Linked DNA regions of Drosophila melanogaster. The protein of the gene in region 1 purifies or fractionates together with the protein of each later gene. This does not show direct contact. Each region holds a gene or a part of one and is shown in the gene's direction. Other genes may lie near its edges.

What was found. The genes of interacting proteins can lie anywhere in the genome.
Region 2: the proteins of ph-p (region 1) and Pc purify together in Drosophila melanogaster (affinity purification with western blotting; 18 studies listed by BioGRID, with this or other methods). This does not show direct contact.
Region 3: the proteins of ph-p (region 1) and barr purify together in Drosophila melanogaster (affinity purification with western blotting, with the first as the bait; one study listed by BioGRID). This does not show direct contact.

What each region holds. Positions count from the first base shown.
Region 1 is NC_004354.4:2,130,749-2,138,187, reverse strand, and holds the start of ph-p (polyhomeotic proximal), read left to right. Parts: upstream 1-1,565; 5' UTR 1,566-2,136; coding exon 2,137-2,171; intron 2,172-6,461; coding exon 6,462-7,439. UniProt on the Drosophila melanogaster protein: Polycomb group (PcG) protein. PcG proteins act by forming multiprotein complexes, which are required to maintain the transcriptionally repressive state of homeotic genes throughout development.
Region 2 is NT_037436.4:21,312,988-21,319,668, reverse strand, and holds the start of Pc (polycomb), read left to right. Parts: upstream 1-1,648; 5' UTR 1,649-1,758; coding exon 1,759-1,872; intron 1,873-2,186; coding exon 2,187-3,245; 3' UTR 3,246-4,363; intron 4,364-6,681.
Region 3 is NT_033779.5:20,056,227-20,063,337, reverse strand, and holds barr (barren), read left to right. Parts: upstream 1-1,967; 5' UTR 1,968-2,152; intron 2,153-2,321; 5' UTR 2,322-2,614; coding exon 2,615-2,926; intron 2,927-2,985; coding exon 2,986-4,536; intron 4,537-4,608; coding exon 4,609-4,953; 3' UTR 4,954-5,175; downstream 5,176-7,111. Other genes in the region: lok (loki), read right to left, coding at 167-604, 685-793, 1,033-1,190, 1,275-1,461.

The sequences.
Region 1 (7,439 bases):
AAAAAGCTAATCGGAATGAAAACATTTGTGGGGCTCAGCGACGTTGTTGTTGGATGAGGTGGGAAGAGTAAGAAGAAGACCAACAAGAGCCCAAAGCAACGCACACATACTACAAATGGTGCATGCACACACGCACGGGCTGGCACAAAATGAAAAATGAAATGACAAAGACAGGCACAGTGGGTCATGAGTGGTGGATATTTGAAACATTAATAAACTTAAAACTTAATAAATCAACTCAATACGTATGTCTATTATATAATTCTATTTTACTAAACGTTTTCATTTTACTTATCGTAACATTGTTTATATGTATAAAAAGTTTGGAAAAATTGCTGTTCTAAAAAATTGACCCACTGTACTCTTGGTTCTCAAACTGCAACTGTAAAGCAATCCAATAATAATGGATCGCTTACCACTGTTCAATGGGGTGGAGAGAATAAGATTTCGCTCTGCCTCTGCGCATACGCTATCCTCCCCTTCTCAACCGACACACCCGTGTGTTACTGACAAGCACAACTAATAATAAGGTAAAGCCGATCCGACCCGATCTGATGTGAAAAAGAAGGAATGAGAAAGGAGGTAGAGGTAGGAAGGTAGTCGTAGTGGTGGTGGTTGTGATGGCACGAAAAAAGAAGATGAAGTATAGCAACAATCGTTGTCGAGTCGGGCCGGGCGGTAGACATTCGAGTGTACACACATAAAACTGGCTTCGCGCGTATTTATGTATGTACATACCCGGTACCCACAAAGTAAAAGGGTATACTGGGCACTTGGTTTTAACTGGAATTTGTGTTAGTAGTCAGCACCAATAACTTACAAATAAATATTTAAGAAGGGTTTTCATTTTAAGGATACGACTGAAGTTAGCGAGGAATGGTATATGAAAAAGGGGTATTTGAAAGTCGAGTCACCAGACCATGTTATGTTTTCAGCAACGGAAGGGGGCTTTCAGTCGGGGTGGTTGAGCACGCATACACATGCCCGCCAGCTGTAGTCTTCCTGTTTTTTTTACTCGTTTTGGTTTTGCTTTGTCAAACGAACTGCTGCCGTTTCATTCCAACCCCAAGCGAACGCACGGCATCCCTCTCGCACGCGCTAACTGGCCAGGGCCACTCCTAGTGGCGTCGCACTCGCACCCGTGCATTTCGGTATAGAGAAAAGTTATTAGTCGCAACGGCATCTGAGAAGAGAGAAGCGGATCCAGCTGCACACCAACACACACACATATTCAGCGCACATGCGCTCATTTTGTTTCCGATCCGAACGAAAAGTAGAGTTGTCGCTGTGGCGCGCGGTTCAGTTTGAAACTTAACTTGGCGGTGTACGGTTCTTGCGCTCTGCTCTCTCTGCGTTCGTGTTGGTGTGGTGTCGTATGTGTCGCATACCGCATCGCATGTGTATTGAACGAAGAAAAAACCCGCCGACGCGACATACTCACTGGATACCCTGCAAATTTGTTAAATTTTTTTCAAAAAGAGCTAACGGTGCTGTTGATTAGCTAGTGCAGATGTGCAGACATAAAAAGTGATGCCGCGCCACAGTGGAGCCCCTAGCTGGCGAATCGTCGCTGGCGACGTAGGCAGTGCAGTTAAAACAAGTACTTAGTGCTGTGACTGTGGCTTAATTTTATGTAAGATCGCGTGCACAGGTGCTTAGTCGTTACACTGAGAAAAAGAAAAGTGCCTGCAGCCAGCGGGGAGAAGTTGAAGTGGAGTGACTGTGAGTGGAGGTTGTACTAATTACTACTGCCCGTGCACGAAACACTCATTTACACGCAAGCACACACACACACACACACACACACGAGACACTGGGACTTTTGTCGGATTTTCGTATTCGTTTTGTGTACTTTTGTTGTCTTGCGTTCCACGTTACATACATATGTATATGTTTGGTGTTGCCTGTTGTATGTTTATATTTATTGCCTTCACACATGTGCGTGTTTGTTAATGTACAATATAATACGGCAAATAGCAAAAAGAGAAGAAACTGAGGACTAAAAAGAAAGCGCCATGCCGACTATAACAAAAACAACCACGAGTGTCTCCGCCGCCGCCGAAAACAAAAACAAAACGCCTAAGCCGACGCATGCATACCTATAATTTATTATAAATATTGTTTTTATTTTGAATAATGGATCGTCGTGCATTGAAGTTTATGCAAAAAAGGTATTTTTTGTTTAGTTTGGTTTTATTTTTATCACTGCTTTTGTACTGCCTGCACTTGTGCTTTTTGTTTACAATTTTTGGTTTAATCTGCTCTTGAGCATTGGATATTGATTCTATATCGTATTCGGATAATAATGACACGTTAATCATAATGCTCGTAAAAATGCAGCGAGTGGATATTCTGTGCTCTCTGTCATCATAAAATGCGCTCGACTGGCGGGCCAAGAAAAGAAAATAAATTCATGAAACCCAAAACGAGTTTCCCCTCCGTCGCCCTCTCCGCCATTCATCATCCAACCGACACACGCCCCCCGCTGTGCGGTGTTGTTGCATTTTTAACAACGAATTTCGCAATGCATGCCCGTGTCTGCATTTGTGTGTGTGCGTCGGCTGGTGGTGGTTGATTTCTCCGTCTCTCCGTGCAACCCTCTCTCACTCGCGCAACAAAGCAACATAAAGAAAACAAAAGTTCTATATCGAAAGGTATCAGTTTTTGTTGTTGCTGCGGCAACCCTGCTTACATTTTGCTTTACTCTGCCGAAATAAACAGTCTAGGGTTGTCAGCTGTAACGAATCTGAGAAATCTGTGTTCCGGTTTAACGAAGATTCAATTTTATTGAATACTTTTATATTTCTTACAGTCCGTTATCACTGAATGCTAATTTTTACCTACAAACTTAAATTGTTCGTGGCAAGAAAATAAACCAGAATGATTAAATTATTTTAGACTCGTTTAAAGCACAACAGTTTTTGTAAATAAATAGTTGACAACTCTGTTTACACCTACGCTACACCGCACTCGCTCTGAGTTTATGTGACTGTGTGTACGGCCTGGCCATAGCCTCATCTCGTTCACTCACATTTGTTTCATCTTCTTCGATTGCAGAACTCGTTTGTGTATCAATCAATAGGCTGTCAAGGCCCCCCCCCTCCTCGCTCGCTCCCGCGCATTTTGCACGCCCGAATCCACTGGAGGTGATGTTTGATTTGAGCGCGACCTTTCCCCCGCACCCCTATCGGCGTGTCTGTGTGTGTGTGTGCTGCCCCGCATTTTGATCATTCCTTTCCCACCGCTACTGCTTTCCCCCCGATTGCAAGCAGGCTGTTTTACGGGGGTTCTCACACACTCGAGCTCGAATGTATGTACCCTACTCCATGGCGACATGGAAACCAGTCTTTTTTTTTCTCTCAAGAGGTTTTTCGCAGCGTGCGGCCGTGAGCTTAACTTACACACACTTGCACACGCGCACCCACCACCCTGTGGCGAGTATTCCACCCCTCTGGACCACCCACCCCATATTCCCTTTCTTTTACGGGGTAGCAGCGACATGAGGGTTGCCAAAATGCTTTTACCGGCTTTTATAACCCATTTCGCTCCTTTTTCTGTCTTTTTTGCACTCATGCTTTTTATGCTCTTGCTGTTTATGGGCCTTGCGGGCTTTTTGGGCGATGGAAAGGGGTGGGGATCAGGCTCTCTGGACTGCCGGGCATCACAGTCGCGGTCAATGCAATAGGACCTTGAAACCACGCTTCTCCAGTTAGATCATTCATAGTTGAACTATATCAGGGAACTGATTCAGGAAGTAATATTAGTTAATTATTTCTAGAAAAACATCCTTACCATGTGGAGTACTCAGCCATTTACGTTTGTCCACTAATCCTATTAGCTTGAGCACTACTGTATAAAACACTAACCATCTCGTGTTGCTCCCAACTGTCAGCATTTTTAGCATTTCGATGGAAAGGTCCTTGAACTTCGCCTGCAATTCGCATCGGCTTTATTGCCCTTTTACAATAATATCGAACGGTGCCAGCTGCGTGGCTAAATTAGTTTTCCGGGCTGTTGTTGTCGAACGTTGAACGTGGAAAACGAGTGCGACTACCATGCTGCTCATGGAAATTCGAAAACCCATAGATAAAGATCGATGTGAAATGCGAAGGCTGTCAGGCAGCTCCTTTCTCTTCATTCGTTGAATGCGAAAGTCCGTTAAGTAGTTGGCCAAATGTTCATTGTCGCTGAAAAAGGGCGGGTTCGGAAAAAGGTCCACAAAAAGAACGAATATTTTCGGGATAGGGATTGGGATCGGGATCGGGCTCGGGATCTCTACCTAAAAGTTAACCAGGGTACACAATTCTTAATTAGAAATTGAAATGACATGGTACATATCTTCAGGCTTGACCTTGTGATTAAGTCGGAACTATAGTTTTGATATTATCCCGAGTTAAAGGTGATCGTTACCTCAGAGTCATATTTACTTTTCCCGCGTTTGTTTCTGCCACTCTCGAAAGTCATCTTTTATGTTTACATTGTAAATATGATTATTTAATAAGAGCGTTTTTGTTTGCTAGTTCCCGCATTTGTCTCACACTTTTTTGAATGACTAAAACCAGATTTTTGTATTTACCAAGTAGCCATATTTGCTTAAACAAAAAAAAAAAAAAAAAAAACGGATATCACTTTGTTATAGCTCAAAGAAGCTGGGGTCGGAAAAATCGAATTTTTGAAATTTGAAAGCTGGAATCGTTTGCCCATTTTTTGCCCATGTTTGCCCACCAATTAGTTTTTTTTGCCCACGTCCAGTTTTTGAGATATGAATTTTCGAAAAAGTTCGAAAATTTTCGAAAATCAAAAATTTCGCTTTTTTCAAAATTTTTTTTTTTAAATCGCAATAACATCGTTTGCCCACGTTTGCCCACCCTTTAGAATTTTGAAAAAATTTATACTTTAGAAAATATAAGGCTTTTAAGTTTACCTCGGTCTAATCAGAGAGTAAATCGTTTGCCCATCTCTTAAAACCAAATATTATCAACAAAAAAGGTTTGCCCAACCATTATTATTAGTTTTTATCGTTTGCCCACCCTTTAAAAAACCTTTAACAAAAATTTTTTTTCGATTGCCCACATTTAAAATACACCCAATTTCGTTAGCCCACCTCTTTAAAATAAAAATTTCCAAAAAAAACGTTTGCCCACCATTTAAAACTAAATAATTTCGTTTGCCCATCCTTCAAAATTCATTTTTAACGTTTGCCCACCCTTTAAAAATAAATTATTTCGTTTGCCCACCCTTTAAAATTTGTTTTTTTCGTTTGCCCACTCTTAAAACTAAATAATTTCGATTGCCCACCTTTTAAAAGTAAATAATTTCGTTTGCCCATCCTTTAAAATTCATTTTTAACGTTTGCCCACCCTTTAAAAATAAATTATTTCGTTTGCCCACCCTTTAAAATTTGTTTTTTTCGTTTGCCCACTCTTAAAACTAAATAATTTCGATTGCCCACCTTTTAAAACTAAATAATTTCGTTTGCCCATCCTTTAAAAATAAATAATTTATTTTTAAAGGGTGGGCAAACGTTAAAAATGAATTTTGAAGGATGGGCAAACGAAATTATTTAGTTTTAAATGGTGGGCAAACGTTTTTTTTGGAAATTTTTATTTTAAAGAGGTGGGCTAACGAAATTGGGTGTATTTTAAATGTGGGCAATCGAAAAAAAATTTTTGTTAAAGGTTTTTTAAAGGGTGGGCAAACGATAAAAACTAATAATAATGGTTGGGCAAACCTTTTTTGTTGATAATATTTGGTTTTAAGAGATGGGCAAACGATTTACTCTCTGATTAGACCGAGGTAAACTTAAAAGCCTTATATTTTCTAAAGTATAAATTTTTTCAAAATTCTAAAGGGTGGGCAAACGTGGGCAAACGATGTTATTGCGATTTAAAAAAAAAAATTTTGAAAAAAGCGAAATTTTTGATTTTCGAAAATTTTCGAACTTTTTCGAAAATTCATATCTCAAAAACTGGACGTGGGCAAAAAAAACTAATTGGTGGGCAAACATGGGCAAAAAATGGGCAAACGATTCCAGCTTTCAAATTTCAAAAATTCGATTTTTCCGACCCCAGCTTCTTTGAGCTCTTTGTTATGTTAGTTTTCCATGATCATTAAATTTAATTTTTTAATGTTTAATTTAAGGGCCGTTTTCAAAACATCACGGCCAGTATAAATAATAATAACAAATAATGATGAGAAAGCTGACCTTATTTTTGGGTCAAGTCCGATTCTCAGCTGGGAGAGCTTGTTTTGCATGAGCGGGGAGGGGAGCAGGGGGCAGAACGGGGATGCTGACAACGTGTTTGCATTGCCTTCCTATTGTTTGTCGCTAGGACAAGAGAAGGCCATTAGGAACACTGTTTTTCCAGTTTGTTTGCGTGTGGTGTGGTCCGAAATGACATTGCTCTTTTTTGCTGAGCAAATGTTTACTGATCGCCAAACTTCTCTTTTTCAATCCTCAGAGCGGACACAGAAAGCGATACGACCACACCCGTGAGCACCACAGCATCCCAGGGGATTTCAGCATCAGCGATTCTAGCAGGAGGCACTCTTCCCTTGAAGGACAACTCGAACATCCGCGAGAAGCCCCTCCACCATAACTACAACCACAATAACAACAACAGCTCCCAGCACTCACACTCGCACCAGCAGCAGCAACAACAGCAGGTGGGTGGCAAGCAGCTCGAGCGGCCACTAAAGTGCCTGGAAACGCTCGCCCAGAAGGCGGGAATCACCTTCGACGAGAAATACGATGTGGCCAGCCCCCCGCATCCCGGCATTGCCCAGCAGCAGGCGACTTCAGGAACAGGCCCAGCAACGGGATCAGGCTCAGTCACCCCCACAAGCCATCGGCACGGAACTCCGCCCACGGGCCGCAGGCAAACCCACACCCCAAGCACTCCGAACAGGCCCAGTGCTCCCAGCACACCCAACACTAACTGCAACTCAATTGCCCGCCACACCAGCCTCACGCTGGAGAAGGCGCAGAATCCCGGCCAGCAGGTGGCCGCCACCACCACGGTGCCACTGCAGATATCCCCTGAGCAGCTGCAGCAGTTCTATGCGAGCAATCCCTACGCCATTCAGGTGAAGCAAGAGTTTCCCACGCACACGACCAGTGGCAGTGGAACTGAACTAAAGCATGCAACCAACATTATGGAAGTTCAGCAGCAGTTGCAGCTGCAGCAGCAGCTGTCGGAAGCCAACGGTGGAGGAGCAGCCTCGGCCGGAGCCGGAGGAGCAGCTAGTCCGGCCAACTCGCAGCAAAGCCAGCAACAGCAGCACTCCACAGCCATCAGCACCATGTCGCCGATGCAATTGGCAGCGGCCACTGGAGGAGTTGGCGGGGATTGGACACAGGGAAGGACGGTGCAGCTAATGCAACCCTCCACCAGTTTCCTGTATCCCCAAATGATTGTGTCGGGAAATCTGTTGCATCC
Region 2 (6,681 bases), on another chromosome or scaffold:
GATAAATACAAGCTATTCCATTGTCCTGTTTGCGTTAATATATGGCCGTAATGCTCAATCTACTGGTTAAAAAATAACCGGAAGTTTTCGTTAAGCTGTGTCTCTCTTTTGTTACTTTCTCTTTGCGATTTTGACACTTGGCATTGCTTCTCCCAATATAACTGTAACTGGCTAGCTTTTATCGCCTCTCATAGTTTTGACGTTTTCTCTGAGCTTTCTCTCATCGGCATTTCCGAGTTTTCTCTTTATGACTTTGACATTTACCGTTGTCCGTCGCTCCCGTCCGGTTGTGTGGCACGTTTTTCTGAATGAATCCGCTATTCGGGGCTTTCGCCTGGAGATGGGGTGGTTTGCCGTTGCTATTATTATTTCCTATATGCTATAAGCTTAATATTTTCGCCAGCCTTATCAGTTGGCCAGTTTTCCTAATCGCTATTCGTTAGTTTTTCGCTCCGTACAATTGAACTAGGTATTGGTTTTTCCCCTTTTTTGTTCGGTTGTTTGGTTGCTTGGTGTTTTGTTTGAAGCCACTAATTAAATATCATCTATGTAAATTGTAACTAGCTAAACATATTGACTAATATTTTATAGGTTATGCGCTAATTGGTGCTGTTTTCACTATGAATTAAACATTAATCTATTTATAGGGTTCGCAACAATTTGCTTGGTGTTTTTCTTTATGTTTTGGTTAAAGCTTTTGGTTAATTTCTCGTTTTCGTCGTTAAGTGTGAAGATTCTCCATGCGTTTCGCGTCCCTCGTCGAAAATATTGCGATTGATTTCAAGGGAATGGGTGTTATTTCAGTTGTTGGTCTTGGTGTTGTTGTTATTTCACTATCACAGCATAAATAAAATAATGTCATCGTCGTTGCCGCCCCCGCCACGCGAACCCTCGGCCAACATACAACTGGCATAAAATATCTGCAGTCGGCCACTTCCTTTCACATCCATCCTGAGCTTTCGGCGCTCTTGTGCTTTCTCACACTCTCTCCCGCACTTTCTCTCCCTCTTGAGGATGTGGCATTTGAAGAGTTCGAAGAGGGTAACTAGTTCAGTTGTAATCAAGTTAATTATCAAACTTAATTGAATAGGAATATGGGGCGAAGTATATGTGGCAATTTGTGATACAATAAGTGAAGCAGGACAAAGGAAAATCAAAACTCAATATGGGATGAAAGCAACACAACGATAAACGTTAACGAAAGTATAATATTTCGTTACCTGGAATTCAATTCAACATGCAGTTTAAAAAGAATACTGTACAAAGGATTCATTAAAAATGCGCTTATTAAAATTTGATTAAAAGCTATTTTATATTTAAGCTAATTGGTTTAACTTCTCGCCGGTTTAGTAATTTGTAGAAACGATAAAAGAAAATAGTGTATAAGGCAACAGCGCCAAAAAAATGTTTTCTAAAACATTTATATACCCCATTTATAAATAATAGAAAAATGTCAAGAAATTCTGAAAATATTTTAACAAAACATTTACATTTTAAAAACGCACAATTAGGTGTGTCTAGTCATCAAAGTTTTGAGTCTTTGCTAATTTTGCCAGGAAAGGGTGTGCGACACGGCTACTTGCTAAGATATGATCCCAGTTCTTTGTAGCACGGTAACTCTGCACCTCGCAGCACTATCGATTGTTTACATGAAAATAATCGAGTCGGACGACTATCGACGTACGCAGAATTGTAAACCAGAAGTTAATTGCAAATAAAACGAATAATAAAACGTTCCGAGAAGATTATTAATTAAAAATGACTGGTCGAGGCAAGGGGAGTAAGGGGAAGTTGGGGCGCGACAATGCGACCGACGATCCAGTCGATCTAGTGTACGCGGCTGAGAAAATCATCCAAAAGCGCGTTAAGAAGGTGAGATGAGCGTAAACAAATTCGAAAAAGGCGACCAAAACGGGATGCTCCGCTAAAAATGGCAAATGCAATATGCGCAGCACACGCAGGATATATGTATAGTCCACAAGGTCACATGTCCTTCGACATTTTTTGGCCAGAGGACATCTGCTGCTGCAACCACCATTTGCACGATGCATGTGTGTGTGCGTAGTGCGTTCGTATGTGTGTGTGTGTGTATGTGAGGCGTGTTTTTGTTTCGCTGAATGGAAAATCAATTAGTTGTCTAAGAAAATGCAATCCACCCCCACTCCTTCACTTACTCGATTTTCCAGGGCGTCGTGGAGTACCGTGTCAAGTGGAAGGGCTGGAACCAGCGCTACAACACCTGGGAACCGGAGGTAAACATCCTGGATCGCCGCCTCATCGACATCTACGAACAAACGAACAAATCCTCCGGAACTCCCTCCAAGCGAGGCATTAAGAAGAAGGAGAAAGAACCCGATCCGGAGCCGGAATCCGAGGAGGATGAGTACACCTTCACCGAAAACGATGTGGACACGCATCAAGCCACCACCTCATCGGCTACCCACGATAAGGAGTCGAAGAAGGAGAAGAAGCACCATCACCACCACCACCATCATCACCACATCAAGTCCGAACGCAACAGTGGACGGCGCTCGGAATCTCCGCTGACCCACCATCATCATCACCACCACCACGAGTCCAAGCGTCAGCGCATTGATCACAGCTCCTCCTCGAACAGCAGCTTCACGCACAACTCATTTGTCCCCGAGCCGGACAGCAACTCCTCCAGCTCCGAGGATCAGCCGCTGATCGGCACCAAACGCAAAGCCGAGGTGCTCAAGGAATCGGGCAAGATTGGAGTTACGATTAAGACCTCCCCAGATGGCCCCACTATTAAGCCTCAGCCGACCCAGCAGGTAACTCCCAGCCAGCAGCAGCCCTTCCAGGATCAGCAGCAAGCGGAAAAGATTGCCAGCGAGGCTGCAACGCAGCTGAAATCTGAGCAGCAGGCCACCCCACTGGCCACAGAAGCCATAAACACAACGCCCGCAGAGTCCGGAGCTGAGGAAGAAGAAGTAGCCAACGAGGAAGGCAACCAACAGGCGCCACAGGTTCCTTCCGAGAACAATAACATACCAAAACCGTGCAACAACCTGGCTATCAACCAGAAACAGCCGCTTACTCCTCTTTCGCCGCGTGCCCTTCCGCCGCGCTTCTGGCTGCCGGCCAAATGCAACATATCCAACCGGGTGGTGATCACAGACGTCACCGTAAACCTGGAGACCGTTACCATACGCGAGTGCAAGACGGAGCGCGGGTTTTTTCGTGAGCGCGACATGAAAGGCGATTCGTCGCCAGTAGCTTGAGCTTCGACCCAAACAAATGTCGGGAAAACAAACCGGAAAACTGATACAATTGTAAATAGACAAACCAAAATGCGAGAAAGTTGAGAGAAGAATTATGCAGAGAAATCCACACTAAATGTTGCTAAGCATTTTCTCTTTAGGACTTAACTAATTTATTGTATTTATTTTTAGCGTAGGTTTTAGTTTGTTGTTTTATTACAATGTTTAATGTGCAAGAGTAGTTTAAGCAAGCGCAAGTCGGGTATTTACTAAATGACTTTATATATACATAAATTTTCGCTCATTTTTTTTATCAGCATTGCAATGATTGAATATTTTCCTATTTAAATTAAAAATTTATTTTTCTGCAATATCACTTTTTAAGATTAATCTGGTTGTCATTTAGTGAATAGGCGAAATGCTGCGGCTGCTTAACTTGCCAATGCAATAGATTGTAAAACTTGCAGCGTAGATAAATATGTATGTACATGTTACATATATTTACCACATATTGTATATTTTTTATAACACTTTGAATCTGATTGAAAACAACACAAGACACTCAAATGCTAAGAAAACTCCATGCGAAACCGAAGCAATTGTTGATTACGCTTACAAATATATACAATAGAAGATGCATATATTCGAGTAGTCACCACCACGTTTGCCGAGTTGGCTATCCCAATGTTGTAATTGTTTAATATTATATTTCCTCGCGCCGACTGATTTTACAAAAGAAAACCCCAAAAACATATATACAATTGTAGATTTACAAATATTTTTAGACTTTAGCTAACCAAAATCTCTACGTAATATTTATTTTAACATGTTCTCTTAGCAGTCATTCAAGACTCAAGTGCTGCCTTTATGGGTTCAGAGCGGTGCAGTGCACAGATAATTCCAAATCGAGCCCATAGACTCATTACTTAAATCCTATGTCTATTTCACAATTTTTTTTCACGCTATGAAACAGAAAACTACGTGGGAGCTGCGGGGAATTTACAAACTCCTGCTTATTTCCCATGGGTCCTGTGCGTATGTTTCTATTTGTCTTAGCTCTTTATTGGCTAGTTTTAGTTACGGCGTAAATTCCACACAAAACAGCAATTCAAAGCGTATATTTTAAGCTTTTTAATATAGTTGTAAAGTCCCAAATGAGAAGACTTTACTCGTTGAGTTTTTGTAAGAAACTGATTTTATTTGGAATTATCTTCGGTTTAAATAGGTGACATGAGAATCGCATCTTAAAGTAAATGGCCTACGCAGAGGCCTAAGTAAATAGTCCCCGCCTTATCGAGGTCCCACGCTCGGGCACATCTGCCTATCTTGAGCGGCGAGGACCTTATCTGTGGTCTCCCACTAAGGGACTATTTTAGGAGGCGGGGAACGATCTCAAGTGACTGACTCATGTAGTGTGCACTTAAATTACATGTTTTTGAGCAATGCACCCATGTCGCCTTAGATAACAAAATCCTAAATATAATTTATCGCTCTCGATTCATTTACATAAGATATGAACGGAGCCCAAAATTGTAAGTCTTTAAATATATTCGTGTTCATGTGTGAACATTCTGCCAAAGGGCCAGCAAGCTGAGATGTACATTAGTATATTAGTTGCATTTATAACAGTAGTGGACTGTATTTATTTGATATATGTTCATTTATTTTGCAACTAAGATTTCAATGGGCCTAGTTTTTCTGGCTTTTAATTTTATTGGATTACAATTATGGTTTATATTATTTTTAATTCAACAATTTGTACTCAATTAACTTATTTTAAACATTTTGCTTTTTCTATGTAGAAGTACATTTTCTATTAGTGGACTGTATATTTTTATTTGTTATATTATTTTATTGTTTATTTACTATTGATATTTATAGTACTGGCAACGGACCTGCAAAGGTTATTGCTTGCATTCTTTGTTGCACAGCACATTTCCGTATGAAATATATTATTAATACTATCATTAGTATTAAAGCAATAATTAATCCAGCATGTCCGGAAATATGATGGAAATGTAAATCTTTCAATTTTTGATGGTTCTCTTTCATAAATTTAATTTCATTATTCAATCGTTCAAATTCCTCAGTATGATTTAATATTGATAGTTTCAGCGGATCCCAAATAATCTTCGGCACTCCACTAACTTCTCCTATATAAGGTGTTGATAATAATTCTTCACTTTCGGACTGAATGTTATGGTGGGCAACTAGAATTTTATCGTCGGTTCTTGCCGTACAATATGGCGCAATGCTTAAAACTCCTTGCTGAGGCAAATCAAACAATTCAATTTGAGAGCCAGTACATTGCAGACGGACTTTTGAATTCGCAGGAACCTTAAACAACCAACTACTTTTCTTTTCTAACTCTACCCAGTAACTTTTAGAGTCGACTACTGTTTTATAGATGCAGTTCGCCGCTTTATCTGGCTTTAGAGGCTGAATCTCACATGCATTATCATTCGCTGAATTCCAGGGCCAACTTCCTTTGCATATTCTCTTATTTAGTTGCCATTTCTGACATTGATTTAATGTGGCTTCCGTCATTATGTGATAGGAATCTATCTCAAAATTATAAATTAAATATTCGGACGTTGTATGCACCATTATTATCCGATCTTCATTTCGAATTGGCACCGGAATAAGCCTGAACAATTTGGATGGATGCTGCTAAACAGAGGCACTTTTGCACTAATGATCAATTTATCGTCGATGAATAAACCCCTGGCTGTTAACAGTGTATACACCTCCTTAAGTTCCGTACCTGACCGTTTTCCTGGAATTACTAGGTTCTCCGAAAGACTCTGCTGAATTTTGGCAATTTCTTTTTTAAGCTGATTTGGCCTGAGAATATTTGTATTTAGCCTACCGTGATTAATATCAATCAACAGGCTTATAATGCCTGCTTGAATTTTTTCGCCTTCTTCAATCAATGAGTGTAGCTGTTTCGTAATCATAAAGAATTTTATTGATTCCTTATAAACATAATAATTTTCTTTAAGAACTTCTGTCATGTTCTCAATTCTTATTTGCATACTTCTAAAATTGGAGTTAACATCTTCTGTTGTTCTCTTTAATAGATTAGAAGTTGAATCAACCACAGATGTTTGTTTTTGAATTAGTTTATCAAGGTTGTTCTGGTTATCTAACAAATTCTTCATATTTTCTTCTAATTGCTCTCTATCATCTTCATCCATTATACCAAATAAAATATGATACAAGGAACCCATAAATTCGAAAGGAGCACGCTTGCTTCTAGATCTAGACTGTATCATAAACAATTTATTGTTTTCTTCAAGTTCCGATAACTGACTTTGCATATTATCTAAAACTAGACTACATTGCTCTTCAAAGCTATGAAGTCTTTCGCAAACTTTCCTCATACTTTGTATAAGCGCATTACCCTTTGTTAACATTTTAAAATATGGATCCATTTTATAATAGATAACCAAATTCC
Region 3 (7,111 bases), on another chromosome or scaffold:
GTGTTCGCAGTAGTCGTACTAGCAAATTCGTAAAGGCGCAGGAATGATTTGCAATTAAGGGCGTTTTCAATGACCATTCCGAAGACTTACTTATTTGCATAACAGAAATGAACGGCTTGCTTAATCAGCAACACATTCGAACCCAAATAAAACTAATTTGTTTTACCCCGATCGTGTAGGTACTTGACGGCATGGCACATTTGGTAAAAGTAAAGCTTCGAGATGTCCTCGCTAAGTAGTTTGTTGCTGATGATCCGGTTAAGCAGGTCGCCGCCGCGCATAAACTCCAGCACCATATACACAGAATCCGGCTTGTCCACGATGTCGTGCATGCGAACCACGCACGGATGTGAAAGATTCTTCATAATCTTGGCTTCGTTCAGCACCCGGTCGGGATCACTGAAATTGGTACTGGGTCGCGCCCCAGAGAGCATATTCTTCTTAACGATTTTCATCGCAAACTGCTGGCAGGTGCGGGTGTCATAGACCAAACGCACCAGTCCGTACGCTCCAGATCCCAGCTTGCGATTTACATAATACGTCTTGTTAATCTCCTCGGGAAGCCCGATCGACTCATTCGGGCTGAGATCCTTGAATACAAAGGCTACAAGGGAGGGCAGGTGCAAAACATCAAATTACTTGCGAGTCCTTGTCGATAGCTATACCTGCTTGTCGATCGCTTACCTTTGTACGTTGGGTGGGACAGGGAAATTACGTCGTCATTCTTTAGGATTCGCATCCTGTTTGTGCCAATTTTCTCGTTATTCACAAACGTCCCGTTGCGTGAGAGATCCTGCGAAATGGGCGGAAACAAGGTTACTACATTTTAATAATATACGGAATTATACGGAATAGTAACTTCTTTTTGTAAATTAATTGTGGGAAATATTCAATATTGAAGTTACCTTTTTTGATAATCTCAACAAAACATAAATAAAACTTAATTTGAATTCTGCTCTTGTGGGTTCTGAATTTGCTATCTTTTTTTTCAAGGCTTCCTTCAGAGCTTTTGGGTTTGGAACTTCCACCTACCTGAATATAAACTGGATTGGTAAGTTCGCAGTTTGCCCGCTTTATGATAAAATGCACTTTGGAAATGCGCGTCAGGATTTTCTCGGGCAAATCGTTGAGCGTGAGGATCAAGTCGTTGGCCTCCCCTCGTCCTGCGGTGAACTCGTCGTTGTTGAGATCTGCAAACAGTTCAGCATGGGATCGTCATTAATACATGAGGAGCACACGCAATGGGGACACAAAACAGGAGGAAATGTGGTTACCAACAGAAAAGGACGAATGCGTATAAATGATTCGGTATTTTGAACTCGTACCCAGCGATTTGATCTTAATGTTCTTGCCGTACAATCGACCCCAGACTATCTTCTCCATCGGCTGGCTCTCCACCTGCGTCCAGATATTGGAGGCCTGACTCTGGGTTCCCTGCGTTCCTTGTGTGTCGCGTGCCATAGTGATTCCAAAACTCCGAAACTCCGTAGCCCCGTAATCTCGTATTCCTGCTATTCCGCAAGTCGAACTGGAAAACCCGTTAGGTTTGCCTGGAACTGCGTAAATTCGAAATGTCCAGTTACTCCAGCACTACCACAGGCAGAAATGCACACATACACGAGGAGTCCGATCTTCGGAAAAGCTATAGATCTATAGAAGCTATGGGTTTGAATCTCTGAGCGTTTCTTCTGCCCAATTCGATTACATCGAGCTTTTCGCACAGCGCTGGCTGATAGTTATTTAGAGTTTATCAGACGAAAACAACGAAAACTAACAAAAATCACGACATTGGTTCGATGTGAACTGCGCGAGGGACTACAATTTCTGCGGCAGTGTGTGTAAAAGTTGCCGCCTTCCAGGGATGGGGTGATTATCAGCGCCAGTGTTGGCAAGAGTCCCAAGGAAAAATTAAGGGTTTTTACAAATTAAATATTGCTTAGGTTAAGACTTTATTGTCAAAAGAAAAAATACTAATTAACTACCGGACTGAAAATTATATAAAAAACTAAAAGTATTGAAACAGATTAATTCCTTTACAGATCGTAGTTTCTTTAATATGGTACATGTATTTGAAATTTAACGGCCATCCATTGTTGAAATCCATTCAGCACTGGCAGGACCTGTGCAGCCCTGAACTTAAAGAAATTCCATTGTAAGCTATCGTGTTTTTATTCGATTTCGAAGCTTTAAGGTGTAAATTAAGTTTGTTTATTTCATTTTTCTCATATGATAAAATTATGTATCATGTTTATACTAGTTAATTATATTCCGCAATACTTTATAGCTAATTCTTTAGCGATTTTCCTGTCCATATTATCTAGCTAGCTTGGCACACCTTTAGTTTTAACCAACACTGAAATGCAGCCCTAAATTGCGGCGTCGTTTGAAAGAAACTGTAAACTATTACCAATACCAGCGCAAAAACAGAAATAGACAAAATACAATCAACAAATCATCAAAAAACAAAAAATTCAAAACTGTCGAATTGGGATCACAGCTATTATTAAAAGTGAGTGTGCTTATTAACACTCTCCAAAACCATCAGCCTACGGCAACCAAAATTCCTTGTGCTGTTCTCTGACTTCATCTCTGATTTATCCACTTCCTTGAAAGGATGACTCTGCCCCGCTTAGAAACTCCGCTCAGGCGGTCCGCAGTAGGCAGTTACCAGGAGGGGGTGTCCCGCATGCTAACCCCCTTTAACGACGACGAGGCGGAAAGGCGGGAAGCCCGACGTCGCACGCTCCTTCAGCAGCATCACCGGTCGAGCACTCTGGAGTCCATCGAGGACAATGAGACCATCAAAAATTGCTTGGAGCTCTACAATGGCAACAAGGTGAGCAAGGACAACGCCTGGAACCTGATGCTCATCGATTCGTTGGCCAATTTGCTGGATCACCATCACAAGCGCATGAGCAACTTCAAGGTGGGTTTTGCCTCATTCAGTTTATGTAAATGTAATAATTTCATGATGTTATACCCTAGATGGCTGGTTCCTCTTTAGAAGCCTCTTCCAAGGTTTACGGCCTGCGTGTGGACTCCATCTACTTGGACGCCATGCGCATTTCAGCTGGCTTGAGTGCACGAACTCTTACGGATAAGCAAATAAATGCTGCCGAGGATGATGATGGCCCCCAAGGTGAACAGGCTACTGGCGAGGGTCAGGACTCAGCGCAACAGGCAGCAAAAGAAGCAGCACCGAAGCCCAAACGGCAAAAGAAACCCATATCCACCGTGACCAAAAACAGAGAAACGCTGAACAGCCGGCTGGATACGGCTCCCTTGCAGGATCCTGTGTTTGGCAAGCTGAACTCCACTGTGGGCTCTATAAATGCTTCCAATCGTCTGATGCACAACATTCTTCCTAGTTTCGACTCTGAATTGCGCTTGCGTACCACCTACAATTTTTGGAACAGCGAAGAGTCCACCGAGGAGGTCCAGGACCACACTACACTCAATGCAGAAATGGAACAATGGCCAGCCACATCACTTATGAGCACCAATCTTATGCGCAAACTGCTGCCACATGCTGAAAGGTCAAATCTGCGACCGCTGCATACGGGCTACATCATCACAAGTGCTCCCAATCCCAAGTCGGCAAATGAAAAGGCCGCCGAGGTAGTGCAGGATGAAGATCATGACGAGGGTCTGGATAATGCCGACGATATGTGTGTAAATGAGATTTCCATGGCCTTTGACATCAATGCCGAGTGTGAGCCCATGCCGGACCTGGATGGACCACCGCCTCTGGTGCTGGAGGTGGACTCCAATGAGCTGGAAGAGCTCACTGCCGAGGAGCAAATGGTGATCAATAATTGCCGTCGGCTACGTAAGCAGACAGAGTTCATCGAGGATTTGCGACCGGTAGACGGGAATTCCAAGCTAGAGTACTCCTACAGGCCGATGGACCAGATCTCCCAGTTTTGGGCCGGCCCCTCGCATTGGAAGTTTAAGCGGACTCGCCCGCGCAGCACTTTCTCGCAGACCAATGGACAGGTGGACACTCAGCCTATTCGCACTCAACGAGCGAAGAAGTCAGCGCATCTGAATGCCAACCGAAGAGCCAAGGCTTTGGACTATGGCAATGTGACGGAAAACTTCTTCCAACAGCTGGACACCACCATAAGGCAGCGCAAGGCGAATTTCCAAAAGAAGTGGGATCCCCGAAAGCTGATATTGCCCACCAAGTTCGAATTGGACCCGGATCTTTTCTTCAAGTACGAATCCGCTCCCAGCATAAAGTTGTCGAAACGCGCAGGTGAACCTGATTCGGATGAGGGTGGAGATCTTGGCATCGATATGGATGCGGATATGCACCACGATGATGACAATGACCAGGAGCTATTCAACAACGAGCATTTTACCGACGCCGTTCCCGCCAACGTGAGCGTTATTGCCGCGATTGCTGCGGAGCAAGCGGCCGAGGCAAGCATGATGAACGTGTCCGCGGGTGAGATTGGCCTCACCCAGATGAACGCCACTTGCAACAACACAGTCTTCGAGATCGGCACCGAGTTCGAGGGTGCGCCGTCGCAGGTGAGTCTTCACTATAAAATCATATATACATACCTGGTATTCTAAAAACCATATAAAATAATTTACTTGCAGGTTGCCAAAGTGATTGTTCCATTCGCGAAGAGAGCCAAGGTTATAGACATGAAGAATCTGAAAAAGTCCTGCAACTCTCTAATACAGAAACAATTGCTAAACGCTGTGCCGGAGGAGACGATACCCTCGCATCCCAAGAAAAAGGGCGAACACTATTCAAAGGGTTTCGCGAGTTTTCAGCAGGTGTATCAGAAGCTGCCCGACCTTTTGACCACCAAAATGTCAGACTCGCTGTCCCCGTCGGTGGCATTCTATGCGGTTCTGCATTTGGCCAACGATTTGAAACTGCGGCTAATTCCGCAGGAGGACTTGGAGGACTTTCAAATTCGCCAGGTGTTGGATTGAATTTCTTTAATTATTTTTCAATTCATAGTTCTAGTTGCCCTTAAATGCTGTTACAATTTATTTTCACGGCTACTCCTTAATCTCTTACCTCTATTTTTAACTCCCAATTCGTATCAGTATTCTGAAACAGATATCCTCACCCCAGTCGAATTTTATACACAAACGAAGCATTGTTCTGATTTAAACACTAGTTAGTAAACAATAAATTAGGAAATATCTAAGAAAATTTCGCTGTTTTAATGGGGTATAATAAACTGGTGAAATTTTCTCAATTGGTAAACACGTATTTATGGCAAAACGGCATCAAAAAAATCTGTAATTTAAACGCCGCAGAAAAGAATTAAAACTTTCGCATTAGTTTTGGCTGTTTATATTCTGCTGGCGGCTCAGACAGAAGGGAAAGTAGTTAACATTGTTTTTCGTTTCTGTTGCTCTTTCATTTGCATACTTGTGTTGGTGCACACTGACAGAAATGATTTCGAGAACAATTTTAATAAGAAACCTCGATTATTTTAATATTTTTAACATCTGCCGAGTAACAGGTATTTTAAAACCAAAAAATAAATAAAAAAATGGGTAAAAAATTGTTTAATTTATATGGTAAAATGTTGCTTGTTTACCACTGAAGAATTCGCGATTTGAAGCTTTTCCGGCGGATATAACTGTTTACAGTGTAGAATGGAGAAAAAAGGAATGGAAATCCTAAGGCGTTTTTAGTTGCAAGTGGTTTTTGTCGCCTCCTGAAGAGGATTTTCCTTCTGCATCTGTGTTTGTGGGGCACACATGTGTGTGTGTGTGTGTGTGTGTGTGTTGGCTGCTGGTGTGTTTGTGTTTGTTGGAAAACTTCGGTGTTTACAGAGCGCTTTTAGGCGCCGTTTGCGTGTGTGTGTAATTGCATATTATTTGCATAAATATTTGCGAAGTATACTAAGTAACGTTAACGTTGGCGTCTACCGATTACACTCTGTACATATGCGAGAAAAAAACAAAAACGAAAACATCAACAACCAGATCATTCGAAAACGTTTCGCAAAACTTTTGACATTAGCGAATGACACTGAACAAAGTTGTCAACTTAAAAGTTGATTCTAATCTGCATATGTTCAAATTGACGGTTACAAAAGGATAATTTCGATGAGATTTCCATGTTTGCCTTAAACTTAAACTATTTTTAAGTTTTTGGCTGAAAGTAATAAAACTAAACAAAAAATCTGTGAAATTTCTGGAAAATGTAGTGGGTTTTGCGCTTGTTATGTATGTTCTTATCGTTGTAACCAGGTTCCGTGAAAAAGTTTCCCCTGCTCATATGTTTTTCAGTTTTCAAGGGAAATCCAAACATTTCAAATTCCATTTCAGTAGCAGACACTGTTGTTGAATAATTCGAGAGCATGCATTTTGAATATAATGACTTTTGCACAGTGAAAATTAAACGTATTATGCTAACCCGTTAGCCGCCCACCAAAATTTTATCCCCGTAAAGTGCAATTTCGTGTTAAATTTTCAATGCCTGCATGAAATTAACCGAAATAATGTTTCATGTGCGGATTTATAACCATTTTAGGCAACCCACATTCCGGCACATTAGAGTTGAAAAGTTAATTATCAGAACAAACATCAACAAAGAGTTTCACCTGGTGGAAATGGGTGCTCTGGAGGATGTGGCAACCGAGTTAATGGCGATGACTGTAATCACACAACAGGTGGGAGGCCAAATGTCCTTGGCTTGATTATTCCCCCGCCCACCATTTCCCATTTCCCAGCTGCCATTGTCATTGCCATCAGAGTTTTTGTTTCTTGTTTGGCTTTCGGTTTGGTTTAATTTTCTTGAATTTGTTGCTTAATTCCCAAGTTGATAATTGCCGGCAGTTTTAGTTGATACACGAAATAGTTATGACCGACAATTTTAAAAAGTTTGATCCTGATATAGAATGAAGAGGTATATCGAAAAAAACTAATAGCTTCAGTCAATCAATCAATCAACCCTCCTAAAAAGTAGTGAGAAGAGCAAGTTGTTTTAAGTTTTTTACTCCATCTGAGTTATTTATTTGTTGCATAGATCGAGTAAAATATGGTTGCTTTTAATTATTCCTGCTCTTTTATTTACATTCATGATATTACACTCAGTTAAAGGTATATATGCGCATATACTGATATATAT